3 linked regions of the Drosophila melanogaster genome follow. The protein of the gene in region 3 interacts with the protein of the main gene of each other region in a pairwise test. Each region holds a gene or a part of one and is shown on either strand. Other genes may lie near its edges.

What was found.
Region 1: the proteins of CG9356 (region 3) and Srpk79D interact in a two-hybrid assay, tested with the Drosophila melanogaster proteins (one large-scale study listed by BioGRID).
Region 2: the proteins of CG9356 (region 3) and CG18259 interact in a two-hybrid assay, tested with the Drosophila melanogaster proteins (one large-scale study listed by BioGRID).

The regions. Positions count from the first base shown.
Region 1 is NT_037436.4:22,272,212-22,276,986, reverse strand, and holds the start of Srpk79D (Serine-arginine protein kinase at 79D), read right to left. Parts: upstream 3,003-4,775; 5' UTR 2,430-3,002; coding exon 1,549-2,429; exon of another isoform or gene 1,496-1,548; intron 1,442-1,495; exon of another isoform or gene 1,271-1,441; intron 1-1,270. Other genes in the region: Csp (cysteine string protein), read right to left, coding at 4,596-4,618.
Region 2 is NC_004354.4:18,780,763-18,785,367, reverse strand, and holds CG18259 (uncharacterized protein), read left to right. Parts: upstream 1-1,873; 5' UTR 1,874-1,992; coding exon 1,993-2,072; intron 2,073-2,134; coding exon 2,135-2,655; intron 2,656-2,712; coding exon 2,713-3,454; intron 3,455-3,510; coding exon 3,511-3,592; 3' UTR 3,593-4,103; downstream 4,104-4,605. Other genes in the region: CG6891 (uncharacterized protein), read right to left, coding at 4,174-4,290, 4,364-4,605.
Region 3 is NT_033777.3:9,402,020-9,406,162, forward strand, and holds CG9356 (uncharacterized protein), read right to left. Parts: upstream 2,251-4,143; 5' UTR 2,219-2,250; intron 2,160-2,218; 5' UTR 2,021-2,159; coding exon 824-2,020; intron 755-823; coding exon 605-754; 3' UTR 545-604; downstream 1-544. Other genes in the region: CG8132 (uncharacterized protein), read left to right, coding at 1-454; BBIP1 (BBSome interacting protein 1), read left to right, coding at 2,528-2,758; CG8135 (uncharacterized protein), read left to right, coding at 2,900-3,070, 3,717-4,143.

The sequences.
Region 1 (4,775 bases), on a different chromosome or scaffold from region 3:
AATTCCAAAAGGTTTCGAAACCACTTCGAAAGGTAGTTTCGAGCGATTAGGTGCGATTGAAAAATTCCTCGCAATGCAACTGCAGTTCCGTCCGCCGCCTGCACAATATGCAAATGTGTGAGTTCGTATTGGGACTAACCGGCCTTATTGATTTTGCAGCCCCGTTCCCAACTTGAGTCAGCCGTTGATCCTTATGGAGCCATGGCGATTTCTTTAGAAGGAAAAGCTTGCTGACATCTTGAGTCACCCTATTTCTGACACACGAACGCGCTCTACTCGGCGTACATAACAACACCACCACCAAACCCCCCCCCCCCCCGCACAACACAATAAAATTATTATTTATAGACGCCGAAAGAAGCGAATGAAAACAATAAGTCGGCTAGAAAATCAGTGCGAATACAGAGCAGCCAGAGGCAGTAAAACGTCATCGTTTTGCTCGATTGCAGTGAGTTTGTGTTATTGCGGGGATGCGCTGGGGGTTGGAGGTTGGTGATTGGGTTGGGGGTGCTCATTGGTTAGCCACTGGCGTCACGTGGTGCCTACTTGCGGTTAGGGCAATTTAAAAACGTAAACAAACCGAGCGGACTGAATGGAAGAACTCATGCGGGGGGATCGATGTAGGATTATGGGACGCAGGAGGTAAAGTTTGCTTGGTACCACTGTCGAAAAAACTGGACCACATAAGTAAGTATGTAGTGTGTGGAATCACATCCCATTCGGGATAAGCACACTGTGTGGCGAAGGGTATCGAACTAATGGGTTGCGTCAACAATGAGGCCCACTGTGCCCGCACAGTGGGAACGCGAATAGTGAGGCCATCCCCGAACGGCTCACATATTGGAGCAGCTCGTTACGGTTCGATAAATTTATTTCCTGCCTGTGAGAGACACGTGGAATACACGCGGCGTATACTTTATGTTCATATTTTATCCGCATGAGAGTGATGGGAAAGAAAACTGGAAAAAAGCTTACTTTACTAAGTCGAAGCTGGTATGCCCTTTAATATTATTTCATTAATTGTCAATTTATATTTTTATTTACATTACAGGCTTATACTGTGTCACTCAGAAATGGAACCTAATACCATTTTGTCAATACAAATTAAATGCATTTGGTCGAGTTACTTCGTTACTCAGTTGAGAGATTGAGTTGAGATATCTTAACAGAAAAGCGTTAAAGAGACGTCGCTTTCCAATGAGCAGTATTAGTTAACGTTTCTAGTAGTCCGTCATGAACACGTCTTGAAATAAACGTGTGGTCGAACTTTATACAAAATTACGGACGGACGGACACGCCCAGCTCTATTTGTTAAAAGATCCTGATCTTCTGATCATGTCTCAGTGTCAGTTCATGTCAAGAACATTTTTTTTGAAGATGAAGTGTTCAAGTGATCATGAAGTGATCGAAGGAAGTTTATCTTATAATATTGGCAAATATGGTATTTGTAGCCGAAAATAGAAATATATACTAAATTCTTATATTAATTTTATAGCACAATAAAAATGTTTTACCAAATAGGGACAACGATATCGATGAAGTACTTACAGACTGACGAATGGGCCGCGCAGTGCCGGCATATCCCGCCGTCGGTTGAGCGGCGGCGACAGCGACAGCGAGAGGAAGTCCTGCTGGGCCTTGTCCTCGTCGACGATGCTGGTCGGGGTGCTGTAGATGCGCGTAGTTGGCAGATAGCCAATCTGCTGCAGAAAGTCGTCGCGGTAGGAGAGCTTGGTGGTGGACTGAGAGGAGGTCAGCGGCAGGGACAGCGGGGATCCATAGAGCGGAGCCAGTGGCAGGGCCGCTGTCATCGAGGCCAGCGACAGAGGCTGCTGGTAGAGTCCTCCTGCACCGCTGCCAGATCCCGGTCCCGATCCCACACCGGAACCTGATCCCGCAGCTGTGCCGTTCCCATGGTGGTGTAGGTGGAGGTGGTGCGGCGTGGTGGCCGCAGGCTGAGTACCGTGAAAATGCGGATAGGGAATGCCGTGGGTGTAGGCTGGAGCGCGCGACAAGTACGGCGTATTGATGATCTTGTCGTCGAAGCTGCGACGGAAACTAAAGCCCTTCAGTGAGTTGCTGTAGTTTCGGTGAGAAAGCGGCGAGCTGCCCAGGTCAATGCTGGCCGCCGGGCCCAGGATCCCGGCAGTTAGACCGCATCCTGAGGAGGCGGTAACGCCGCTGGCCGTCGCCGTGGCGCTACCCAGCATACTCAGCGCAGGTGAGGTGCGCAGCTGAGGGCTGCCGCCCACTCCTCCGCCTGCACCGGAGGCCGTGGTGGTCGAGGTGGAGAGTGGCGGCGAGATGGCACTCAAAGTGGAGATGCCGCTGTCACTACTACATATGCCGGCCGGCAGTGACGTGTGGGTGGGCGAGATGAGGTGTGGGTGGTGGTGTTTGCCATTTGCGGCACCGATGAGGCCGGCCATGCCGCTACTGGGCAGTACGGGAGCCAGGATGCCTCCCGGGATGAGTTTCCTGATCTGCGCGGGGCTGGTCCTCGCCCTGTCCTAATGAATGCTGGGAAGCTAGAAGCAGCTTCCTCGCGTCTTTGTCCTCATCGTTGGCCTGCGCCCTTTGTTCCTGGTGAGGACTTCGTATATCATTCCTTGTGCGTAGGAAAATCAATGAAGGGACGCGCTTAAAACATGCATTTTAAGCAGCGCTTTTCTCGCTTTGTAACCCAAATTGCGCATGAAAAAAGTAAGGCGAAAATCCACACACGCACGCACACACTGCCACGAACTGGTTCGCGATAGAAGAGGGTTTTTCCACGGTCTGCCCTCAATTGGGCCTATTGGATTCCCTTTCGCCTTTCTTCGATGCTTTTGGCCAGGTACGTGCCCGTAGTCTAGTTAATAGCGGAATTGATTTATCCTCGACAAATAAAGCGAACACATCACATTTTCCACTTTGTGTTTTTGGCAGAAGCAGCAGCACGGAAAAGTCTTCTTTGTCCGCACTTGGCTCGAACTCTCCGACGGTCTGCCCTCCGGGTTCTGAAGCGGAAAACTCTGCGGCGAAGTTCAGCGATTCCGGGGAGCGGGCAAAGCGCATGTGCCGGCTGTGGCCCGTTACTGTCCCAAAACAAAACAAAGCCCGAGCGGAGAGAGTGAAAGCTAACTGCAAGCAGCTGGCGTCGTCGAAAGTTCCATCCCCGAAAATCAGTTTGTTTACCATCCTGGCAGAGCTTTTCATGGGCAAAGCCGACTAGGCAATACCCTTTGTAAAACAAAGCGGTGAGTTTGTATAATAAATTTATTTCGGCTTCTTCGTGTTAGACCAGAATACAATTGAAATTTGGAAACAATTGTTAAGTTTAAATTTAGTTTACTTAGTATTTTTGCTTTGACTTGTACGAACAATAAATACACACGCAAGACCGTAAAATGTAATTATTAATAATTGAATTTTATATATGTATGCGTGTTTATACTATAGATGAGCCGGCGACTCTCGGATCCCGGCCCTAGACCCAGGCGCCCAAGGACTTTTATCCTGGCCCGGAGCTGATCGGCAATAATTGATGTCAATGATTTAGAATGGGATACTACAATATAAAAGTTAATTACTGCTGGACTAATCGCATTCATTTACATTTAAAAGCGGGTTAACAATCAAACAAAAATTAATTAGATTCAATTCAATTTTGAAACAATTTGGAATACATAAATATGTGCAATACTTTCGGGGGTTACAATTCAACTTTTGATTACTCGTATTTAATTGTTTTATATATAGAGGGGATTATTAATATCTGTTATATAATTTATATTTGCGTTAATTGGATCGCCCTTCAAAGTGTCCTCTTCTTCGTCCTCCTCTGTTTAACTGTGTGATGCTTAATTGTTTAACTCGTATTTACATTTGCATTAGAATCGGATCGGAGCAATCTGCTGGGCGCGTCGCTCGACAATTCATCCTTTTTACATAAGTAGTTCTGGCTTTAACAATTTAGTGCAAAATAACAGAAACAATCGGTGAAGAGGAGATCTCGAGAACAAATTAGCTAGACTAAGCGACGACACAAATGCCACAAACTAGATACACATATCATATACATATATATAATTACAGTGCCTCTCTTCGCGACTGAATCCCAACTCACGGGCTAAGCCGCAAGGGATCCGATCCCCAAGCAAATGTCTAGACAAACTTCCGATATACAATTTCATCAACACCGAATGGTGTTTTGGTGATTAGCATGACTGGATAGGTGGAGATGGTGGCTTCGCGGCTTGGCTATCGATTCGAGTTGTATAGTGGTACAGCTGCAAGGCTAGATGCATGGCTTGAACAATGGAATTGGTGAATCGATTGCCCGAAGTGGACCAAAATCAACCTGACTGACCGGAGGGCGGCCACGAAGTTCGATAGTTTAAAATTAGAGCTAAGTGCTACGGCTTAAAATAAATACATTGGTTTCTATGTTTACTCGCTTCAACATATCGCGCATTTTAAAAACAACACTAATAATTATGAAATAAATCTGGTTTTCTCTTCTGTTACGATTTAGGGGCTTGTGTTTTCTGTGTCTGTATCTGAATGTGTGGTGTACGCAAGCACCCGGGTCTTGACTCGCTCGCAGCACTTGACTAATATTTTTGATTAACCATATCTAGAGTGAAGAGAGGGGGAGAGAGAAGTAGACAGTGATAAGTGAAAAGAAATCAAAATGTACGCGTTGCATAAGAAACGATAAAACTAAAATCCGTCAAACTTAAGCTACATTCTTTGAATATGTCTTGGATGGAAATTAAAATTTTCATTTCATT
Region 2 (4,605 bases), on a different chromosome or scaffold from region 3:
CGAGTGCATATTGGACCAAGGTGAAGCCTATGCGCCCGCGTAAAAAGCCTGAGGCACGGATCGTGAAGAAGACGGGTGAGGCTTGGTACGCAGAGATGCTCCGGAAACTAAGATCGGACCCGAGCCTTAGCGAACTGGGCAGAAGAATTCGGAGAACTCAGCTAGATGAGCTGTTGCTCGAAGTAGTGGGAAAAGCCTCGGGAAGCTTTCCCAAGTATAAAAGCGATCTAGAGGCGACGGTCAATGATTTGGCATCTGTGCGGCAGCTCAAAGAATAGCACTATCCTGCAGTGGACTGGACGAGGATACGATAGTAGAGGAGCATCAACAGGCCCTTGGGAGTAGAGCTGCACTGTTTTGCAGACGATGCGGCAATTACAGCAGTCGCCAAAACAATTGCAGAGTTGCAGGACAAATGTAACACCACGATTGGAGCTGCCGTCCACTGGAAAGCCGGGCTAGCAATAGCGGCTCGCAAGACCGAAGCAGTAAGTACTAAGCAGCAGGAAAAAGGTGGAGAATATGCTAGTCCTCTGTCAATGCGACACAGGTGACCTCCCAAGAGTCCCTCAAGTACCTGGGTGCTATGATAGAACCACGCGAGTTACGGCAGCAAGAATGCATCAGTCACAGTTTCTTCATTGGCTAGACTGGTGCCCAACATCGGTGGTCCAAGCTATCTGGCCAGGAAACTGGCTTCGCTGCTGTACGCTGCACCAATCTGTAGCAATGCTACAAGCAGGGGTTCATACCTGAAAGGAGCCATGGCCCTCAGGCTCATTAGAGGATTCAGGACAATATGTGAAGACGCGGCACTAACTCTGGCAGGCCGCCAATTGATCGGAGATCAAGGCTCTCGGCCTAAAGCGGGGTGGCGCTTACCGACGAGTGGCTGTTGGGTGAGTGGCAGAACAGGTGGTCTTACCAGCTCATTCCTGAGTCGGCGGTTTGGGCAGAGTGCCAACACAAATGCTTGGACTACCACCTAACCCAGTTTCACACGGACCATGGCTGCATTCGGGCCTATCTACGTCGATTGTTCTGCGTCATTTGTGAGAAAACAGAAGAGCATGTGCTAATGCACTGCTCCAGGTTTGCGATGGAGAGGGAGCAGCTAAAGACGAAGTCAGGTGCTCCGTTCAGCCCTAGTGGCTTGTTCGCAGCTATATTGGCAAAGAGCGAGGCATGGGAGCTGGGACACAGTCTAATCATTAAAATGATTAAACGTGTCCGATCAGACGAGATGGCCAACAGAGAAGGTGGCTAAACCCGAACAGGTGTCCTGTGTGGTGGCGAGTGAAGAATACTACCTGAGCGTTCCCGGCTTGTCGTAAAAAGCGACTAAAGGGTGAAAAGAGGCGCACTCATGGCCTACACTGAAGGAAGAGAGTGTGAAGCCAAATTCTGTTCATCGAAGTCATACAATGGCAGTCCCGGTGAGCGTTCAAGGACTGAAGAGCACACGGAGGTTTTTGTTTTAGTATGTGGTGTTGTTTTTGTTGTTGCGCAGGTATCAGTGTTACCAGACCAGACGTCGGCTAGCACCTAAGCGCGATTGTTCTCGGTTGTGCGAAGGGGCACACTGTGAATTAGTGACTCGTAATGTCAGTGGATAAAACGTATTATGTAGCTTAATATATCATTGACAGTTCTGAGAATTTTCAATCTTCTACAAACTAATGTTAAGACATGCAAAAATTGTTTTTGTAAATGAACAAGTAGTTTAATAGTATTAATCGTATATTTGTATAAGTGTTAGTATATTGCTGTTTCTTTTTTACATTTTATATCCAGAATAACATAGATGTTTTTAAGCGATAGTTGCTATCGATAGTGCTGGACGATAGTTTGCCACCCCAAGTGTCACCAGTGAAACGCCAGTCCTATTTTTTTTTTACGAACGTAGTTCGAATAGTCAGGATAATTTGAATCTGGTTGTTTTTACTTCACACATAGCTTAGGAAAAGGTGTGAAAAGCGTATACTGTGAGCCATGGACATCGATTTGAGTCTGGACGAGATTATAGAGCGGAAGCGCGGGCAACGCGGCTATCGTCCCCTCGACAGAAAGTTGTAAGTACATTTACAGGACAGCCGAAAAAATAGAATGTCACTCAATGCGTTTTCCATTGCAGCAATGCGAACTTCTCCAAGCCGCGCCAGCTGCTGAACAAGCCTTTTTTCAAGCCATCGGGTGCCCGAGGATCTCACTCTGATACGCCGGCAAAGCGCACCTTCGATGCCAGAAACACGATCGCCGCGAAGACACGGGCCAAGATAGCCGATGCCCGGGATCTGATCAACAAGAGCGTGCGCGACTCGGGCATCGATGCCCGCCAGCTGTTGCTGGAGCGAAAGAAGGCCCGTTCGGCGGGCCCAATACTTATTGATGACGAAGAAGAGTCGTTTGAGCCATCACATCGCGCACGCGGAAAGGGAGTGCACATCGGTCAGTTTGGTCACCGCCTTAGCATGTCAAACCATGCGGACGGCACCATTCAGGCGAAATGGGACTCGGACGACGGGGTCGTTGAACTGGGTAACCACATGTTGTCCGGCTTGCGTCGAACCTTTGACCCCAGATCCCATAAGCCGGGCAAACCCTTTGCTCCACGACGCTATATTGATCTTGATAATATGCAGGACCTCGAGGATGGTTAGTTAGTGCCTTTCTCTGCCAAGCCGTTCCTAAAAAGCACTCTTCTACTTTCAGAGGAAATATCTCGCACACTGCACTTAGGGCAAATGAAGCAAGCGTCGCCACGCTACTCAATTGGTGGGCTCGACCTGAACCGCGGCGACGACGTGGAGATGTCCATGGCCCCACTAAATAACAAAATAGATAACAATGCATTCTCCATTTACGAGGCGGCCCGCAATCGCATTGAGCGTCCTTCGCTGACCAACCGACTCGTAGTTGGACGCTCAAATACCACCAAGGAGCCTCTCGAGCGCCGCCACCGCGACACAGCAAGCACAAGTAAACTCCCAGAATCGCTGCGGTCTCGTCTGTTTGTCGGTAAGAGGGATCCTCACATTTCTCATGGCATCTACGCCAACGAGAACCGGAGAAAGGCTGTTGGTGGCGGTGGTGCTAGGGATAGCGATAGCGGTACTGATAGTGATGGTGATGCAGCTGCTCCATCGAAGAACAAGCGCCGTTCGCCATCCCCATTGTCGCTGCGTACGTCGAACACAAAGGATGGATACCGCCTGCTGGTGAGCAATCTGCATACTAACGTGACTACTGCGGATATTCGCGAGCTTTTTAGCGACATCGGCCCAGTGTACGACGCTCGTGTGGTGCGTCCCGGCACCGCCGAAGTTATTTACAAGTCACTGGAACATGCCGAGAAGGCCGTAGATACCTATCACCATCGTCAGTTCGATGACCAGCCCATGCACTGTGTGCTGGTTAATCCGCACTCCTCCCGTCGCTCGGTGCACAAAGCCAGGTGAGTGATATGCTTTAAAGATACCAAGCAGTATTGTTCAACGTTCTCGGCCGTAGCTCTCGCACCGTGACCACAAACTCGTCTGGCGTGGAGGTGGACATCGATGCACTTCACTCGGTACTCTTCAGGGTCCGCTAGGAAGCGAGAGGCAGAGCCCGGGAACTAAAGCAACTAGATAATTTTTCTCATCATTTTCATCATCTCCGTAGTATTTAGTTCAACAACGTAGTCCATTTTCATTTCGCGCTTATTAAATTCGAATCGATCCATCCAGCGTATGTTCAGAAAACCAGACTAGTTTAAACGAGAACATTTCTTTACTATAGAAACTTGAATTTTCTAATGCAAATTCTGGCATATCTGTCCACTTCAGTATTCAGTATTAGGTGGCTAAAATTTTTGTCTTATCATCAAAGTAATTCATCAGTCCCACTATATACACAATTAAATGTATGGCATTGATAATGATTTTGCATCCGCTCTTGAAATTTGGTATTGAAAACTTTTCTTTTACCTTTTTTGAATGACACTATGGATTATGATTATACGATAAATAAGAGGACCCAGTAATGTTACAATTGCTTGTATAATATTTCATAAAATGTACAGTTTTTAAATTTCATAAAATTAATTCATAATAATTAAAGAGAAAGGAGCAGTTTGGTAAGCAGTTAAGAGTTGCAAAAAAAAATGTATATGTAAAGTAACTTGGAGGCCGCTTAGTTATCCCGGATGCCCGTTCCGTAGTTGGCGCCGCCGGCACGGTTCAGTGCTTCACGGAAGAGCTCAATGTCCAGCTCGGCCTCCACTCCCGCCTGAAGTTCCACGGCAAAATTCTGCAAGAGATTAGAGATGAGAGGATCTATTTCTGCCTCTGGGCTCTGGCATCTCTAGCTATTGGCTACTCACGTTGAGGACATCCTTGATCAGCGCCTTGTCCGTGGACATCTTGGCCCTCTGGATGACGCCCACCTCCTGCCCGATCCACGTCAGGAAGATGAACTTTTTGCGCTTGGACATCTCGTCACCCATCTGGATGCGTATGTAGCCAAAGGCGCGCTCCGAGTCGCCGAACTGCTGTCGGAATTCCTCAAAGCACTGACCGCGCGCATGTACAATAATCTGGGCGCCATCGAACTTGAATACCGCCC
Region 3 (4,143 bases):
CAAGGAGTCGGAAACGCTGTCCGCAGGCAATGATTTCACCATCATCAACGTAGATGGCCACAAGATTGGCATCGGCATCTGCTACGATATTCGATTCGAGGAGATGGCGAGGCTCTATCGCAACGCAGGCTGCGAGATGATCATCTATCCGGCTGCATTCAACATGACCACTGGTCCACTGCACTGGGAGCTATTGCAGCGATCCCGTGCCAATGACAACCAACTCTTTGTGGTCACAACATCACCAGCCCGTGACACAAGCGCCGAGTATGTAGCCTATGGCCATTCCATGGTGGTGAATCCATGGGCCAAGGTGCAGCAGAGTGCCAGTGAAGGCGAGGAAATCGTGGTGGCCGATATAGATTTCTCCGAGGTGGAGCAGGTGCGTCAGCAGATTCCCGTCTTTGGGCAAAGACGTCTAGATCTGTACGCCACCGAAAGGAAGGCCAAATAAAGGATTGCTTTAAATGGGAAATGGGAAATCTTCAAAAATTCAAGAATCTGTCGTTTTAAGCACCTTTAAAGCATTGCATTTATGTTATTTGATTGTATATAAAATTTATTAGGCCTACACACACATATAACATTGATTTCTGTCGAAAAACTATTGCATTTTATCTAGCTGCTGATTATCGCAGGCAGGAGTTACTTCGGATGCAGGTGATTGCACGTAGTGGGGTCGCTGGGCCTGGTCGAAAAGTGCTCGTATGGCTTCATCGGTGGCCATCAGGGGCTGACTAATGAATTCCAAGGCCTGGTGGGACGGTAATAAGGTGTACCATTAACTGGATGTTTGAATCACTTTAACTATCGCTGTACTTACCCTAACCGCGTACTTCTCCGCCTCACAAAGTGGACTTGTGCTGGCGCTGGACAACTTTAGTGTCTCCTCGGGAATGCCCACGCCAGTGTGCAGGACCATGCGTTGGAGAATGTTAAGGTTTTCGGCACTTAGGCTGATTACATCGGTGGCGGGCAGGTTGAGGAAACGAATCTTGGCCAGGAACTTCAGTTGCTTAAGCATATCTAGCTGAATTTCGCGGATCTGATGGGTGGCATGAAGCAGTTGCTTCGTTGACTCGTTCAATAGCTGATTCTTCTGCGTGAGATCGGCTTTCCAGCGGGCTAACTCCTCAACCATAACGCTGCTGGCGAGGAATTTGGACCGCCAGACCTCACACTGGCCGGCCAGGAACTCAATCTGCTCGGTGTGGGTGGTCAAATTGTTGGCAGTGTCCAATAGAGCTCTGGCCAGCTGTAGTTTGTCCTCGGTGAGGAGATTAACCCGTGTCTGCAGATCCTCGCCCACGGAGGCCACCAGCAGGCTCTTCAGCTCGCTATTCACCTGCGTTTGGAACTTATACTGGGCTTGAAAGTAATTGCGTTCATCGCGCATCTTGGCCAGCTCCTCTTTAAGTGAGTTTACCTCATGGCTACTGGCTGTGTCTGTTTCTTTAATATCCGTTGTCTCAGTCTCCAATTCCTGTGTGCGCAGCGTGGACACCTGATCCACCAGCACCGCAATGTCCAGGTTGTTCTTATCCCGATGGATTTTGTGTTTATTCGTTGGCTCAGAGATCATGGGATTCACGGCACCCGGATATGGTTCGTAGGGCACGAATTTGGGCGCCTTGGTCTTCTTATGTTCGGGCAGCGAGTCCGCGCTGGTGACCAGTCTTGGCCGCATCTGGACCAGCTCCCCCTTGGGCACAACGGGCGCCAAACTCCGGGTGACGTTCTCGGGTCGTCTGTACAGGGTATGCAAGCCAGGAAGGGGCAAATTTGAGGAGTGGCCGCTACTAGTTGATGTCTTCCTGCCCATGACGGCCTCCTGGACAACGGAGCTGTCTTTTCGCGATAATTGTGGCCTCTTTACCTTGTTGTCCACATCAGCACTCGCTGGGATTTCGCTCTCTGTTTTGGCCGCTCCACTGTTTTCCGGTTGCTCCATGCCATCGCCGCTGGTGCGACAAGCTTGGGATTTGTCCGTTCCTGGCATCGCACTTTCATTCGCTTCCATTTCTGGGCAATCTTGGCCAGGCCAAATAAAATTTTCCTAATTTAAGAATTTCTTTTGCTGTGCCAGCAAAACAAAAACATTGACCAAGGGCTGCCAACTCGCTGCAAAGAAGTTTTGTGTTTCTAGTGTTGGTCAAGACCTAAATGTTTGAAACTATCATGATTATAAAAAAGCATTGTTAATTAGAAATTTATTTGCCTTTAAAAATGCTCTCCTACCCAATAAAATGGGTATAAATAAATAAATTCCCAAGTGAACACCACAGTCCAGTGTGACCAGAGCATGTCAACATGAAAACGCACGTTACACTTCATTTAACAGTGCTGTTCGGCCCACCCACGCACACGTTCACACTTTTTGATAAAGTCGATTGATTTGATTGACCGAGAAAAAAAAACAAATAAACACAACGAAGGTGAACTGGTACCGGCGTAGTGAAGATACCACCAACGCCAGCTCCCAACACATCCCGGCCACGCCCCCCGACCGCCCGCGGAGCTCCAAAGGATGTCCTCAGTGGAGGCCGAGGTGCTGCAGAAAATCGATCTGATTGAGCCCACAACCGGAAAATTGTTTTTCGAGCACAAAACGGAGCTGCTTTTCTGCCGGCCACATCTGATGCCGCTAAAGACGCAGGCGCTGGAACGCCTGGAGGAAATGCATCGGGACACCGCTCGCCAATTGCAGAAGAAGCGCCAGCAGAAGAAGAAGTCCACGGAGCCCACAGGCTCGCTATGAACCAGTCCTTAATCGCAGAAATACATTTGTTATAAGCACATACACCCACACGCACGCACCACAAATACACAGAATCACAGCAAAGCACAAGAACTGAGTACACCCGTACCAGGATCGGGATCGGGATAAGCACTAGTCACAATGGCGTACCTACTAAGCTTTGGCATCGTGGCCGCCCTATTCCTGGCCAGCATCTCGCTGTACCGTTACGGAAACATACCACGTCAGCACATCCTGGTCACCCTGTCCGTGCTGACCGCCTGGTGTTTCTCCTTTCTAATTGTATTCACCATTCCGCTGGACGTGACATCGGTGAGTTGGAATGTGAAGCTATAAGACCATTTGGAATAGAATATAGCCGCAATAGGAAACAACAGAAAGCTTAAAATAACTTAATAAATAGTTGCATTAATATGATTTTGTAGATGTGCATATATAGTACTTTTAAACGTGCAAATGCTTCTGTCCTTTCTGCCATATGTTGTGGTTTTGTATATGTTTTGTATATGTTGCAGGTAAAATATATATTCCAACGATCATAAATATATACAAGACTAGAACGACTAGAAATTATAAATATTTAAAAACACGTTTCGTTCATAAAGAAGTAATCTTTAGATTTCCATTTCCATCAAAACACAGTTTGTCGCATTTTATTGCATGTGAAACGTTAGTAATTTTTAAACAAAACTTAAATTTCGAACGGAAATTAATTAACTTTTTATCTAAAGCTTCGCCGACACCATTCAAATTGTAAGCATACATTGATTTTGGTCTGGAATTTCTTATCTGCAAATGAATCACCCCTAAAGTTAGACAACAAAAAACCCGAATTGATTATAGAAACACAAATTAACCGCTTTCCGGCTTTGGATATACCCTATTGTCATTTGGTTATCAACTCCTTCGATTAGAGCTAATAACAATTAACAATCAAATTGTATAATTGCCATTTCAGACGCTTTACCGGCAGTGCGTGGAGGAGCACCGACCGACCCCAGCCCCAAATGTGACCAACACGTCGAGCGCCACGGTGGGTCCGCCGCCTCAGTGCCAGGAACCGTGGGGCATGGTGCCCGCCTCCGTGTTCCCAAACCTCTGGCGCATTATTTACTGGAGCTCACAGTTCCTCACCTGGTTGATTATGCCGCTGATGCAGTCGTACCTTAAGGCGGGCGACTTCACCGTCAAGGGAAAACTTAAATCGGCACTGATAGAGAATGCCATCTACTACGGTTCCTACCTGTTCATCTGTGGCGTACTACTCATCTATATTGCCGTCAAAGGAGAGTCTCTGGATTGGCAAAAGCTCAAGGCAATTGCCTCGTCCGCATCGAACACATGGGGATTGTTTCTGCTCATCCTGTTACTGGGATATGCTCTGG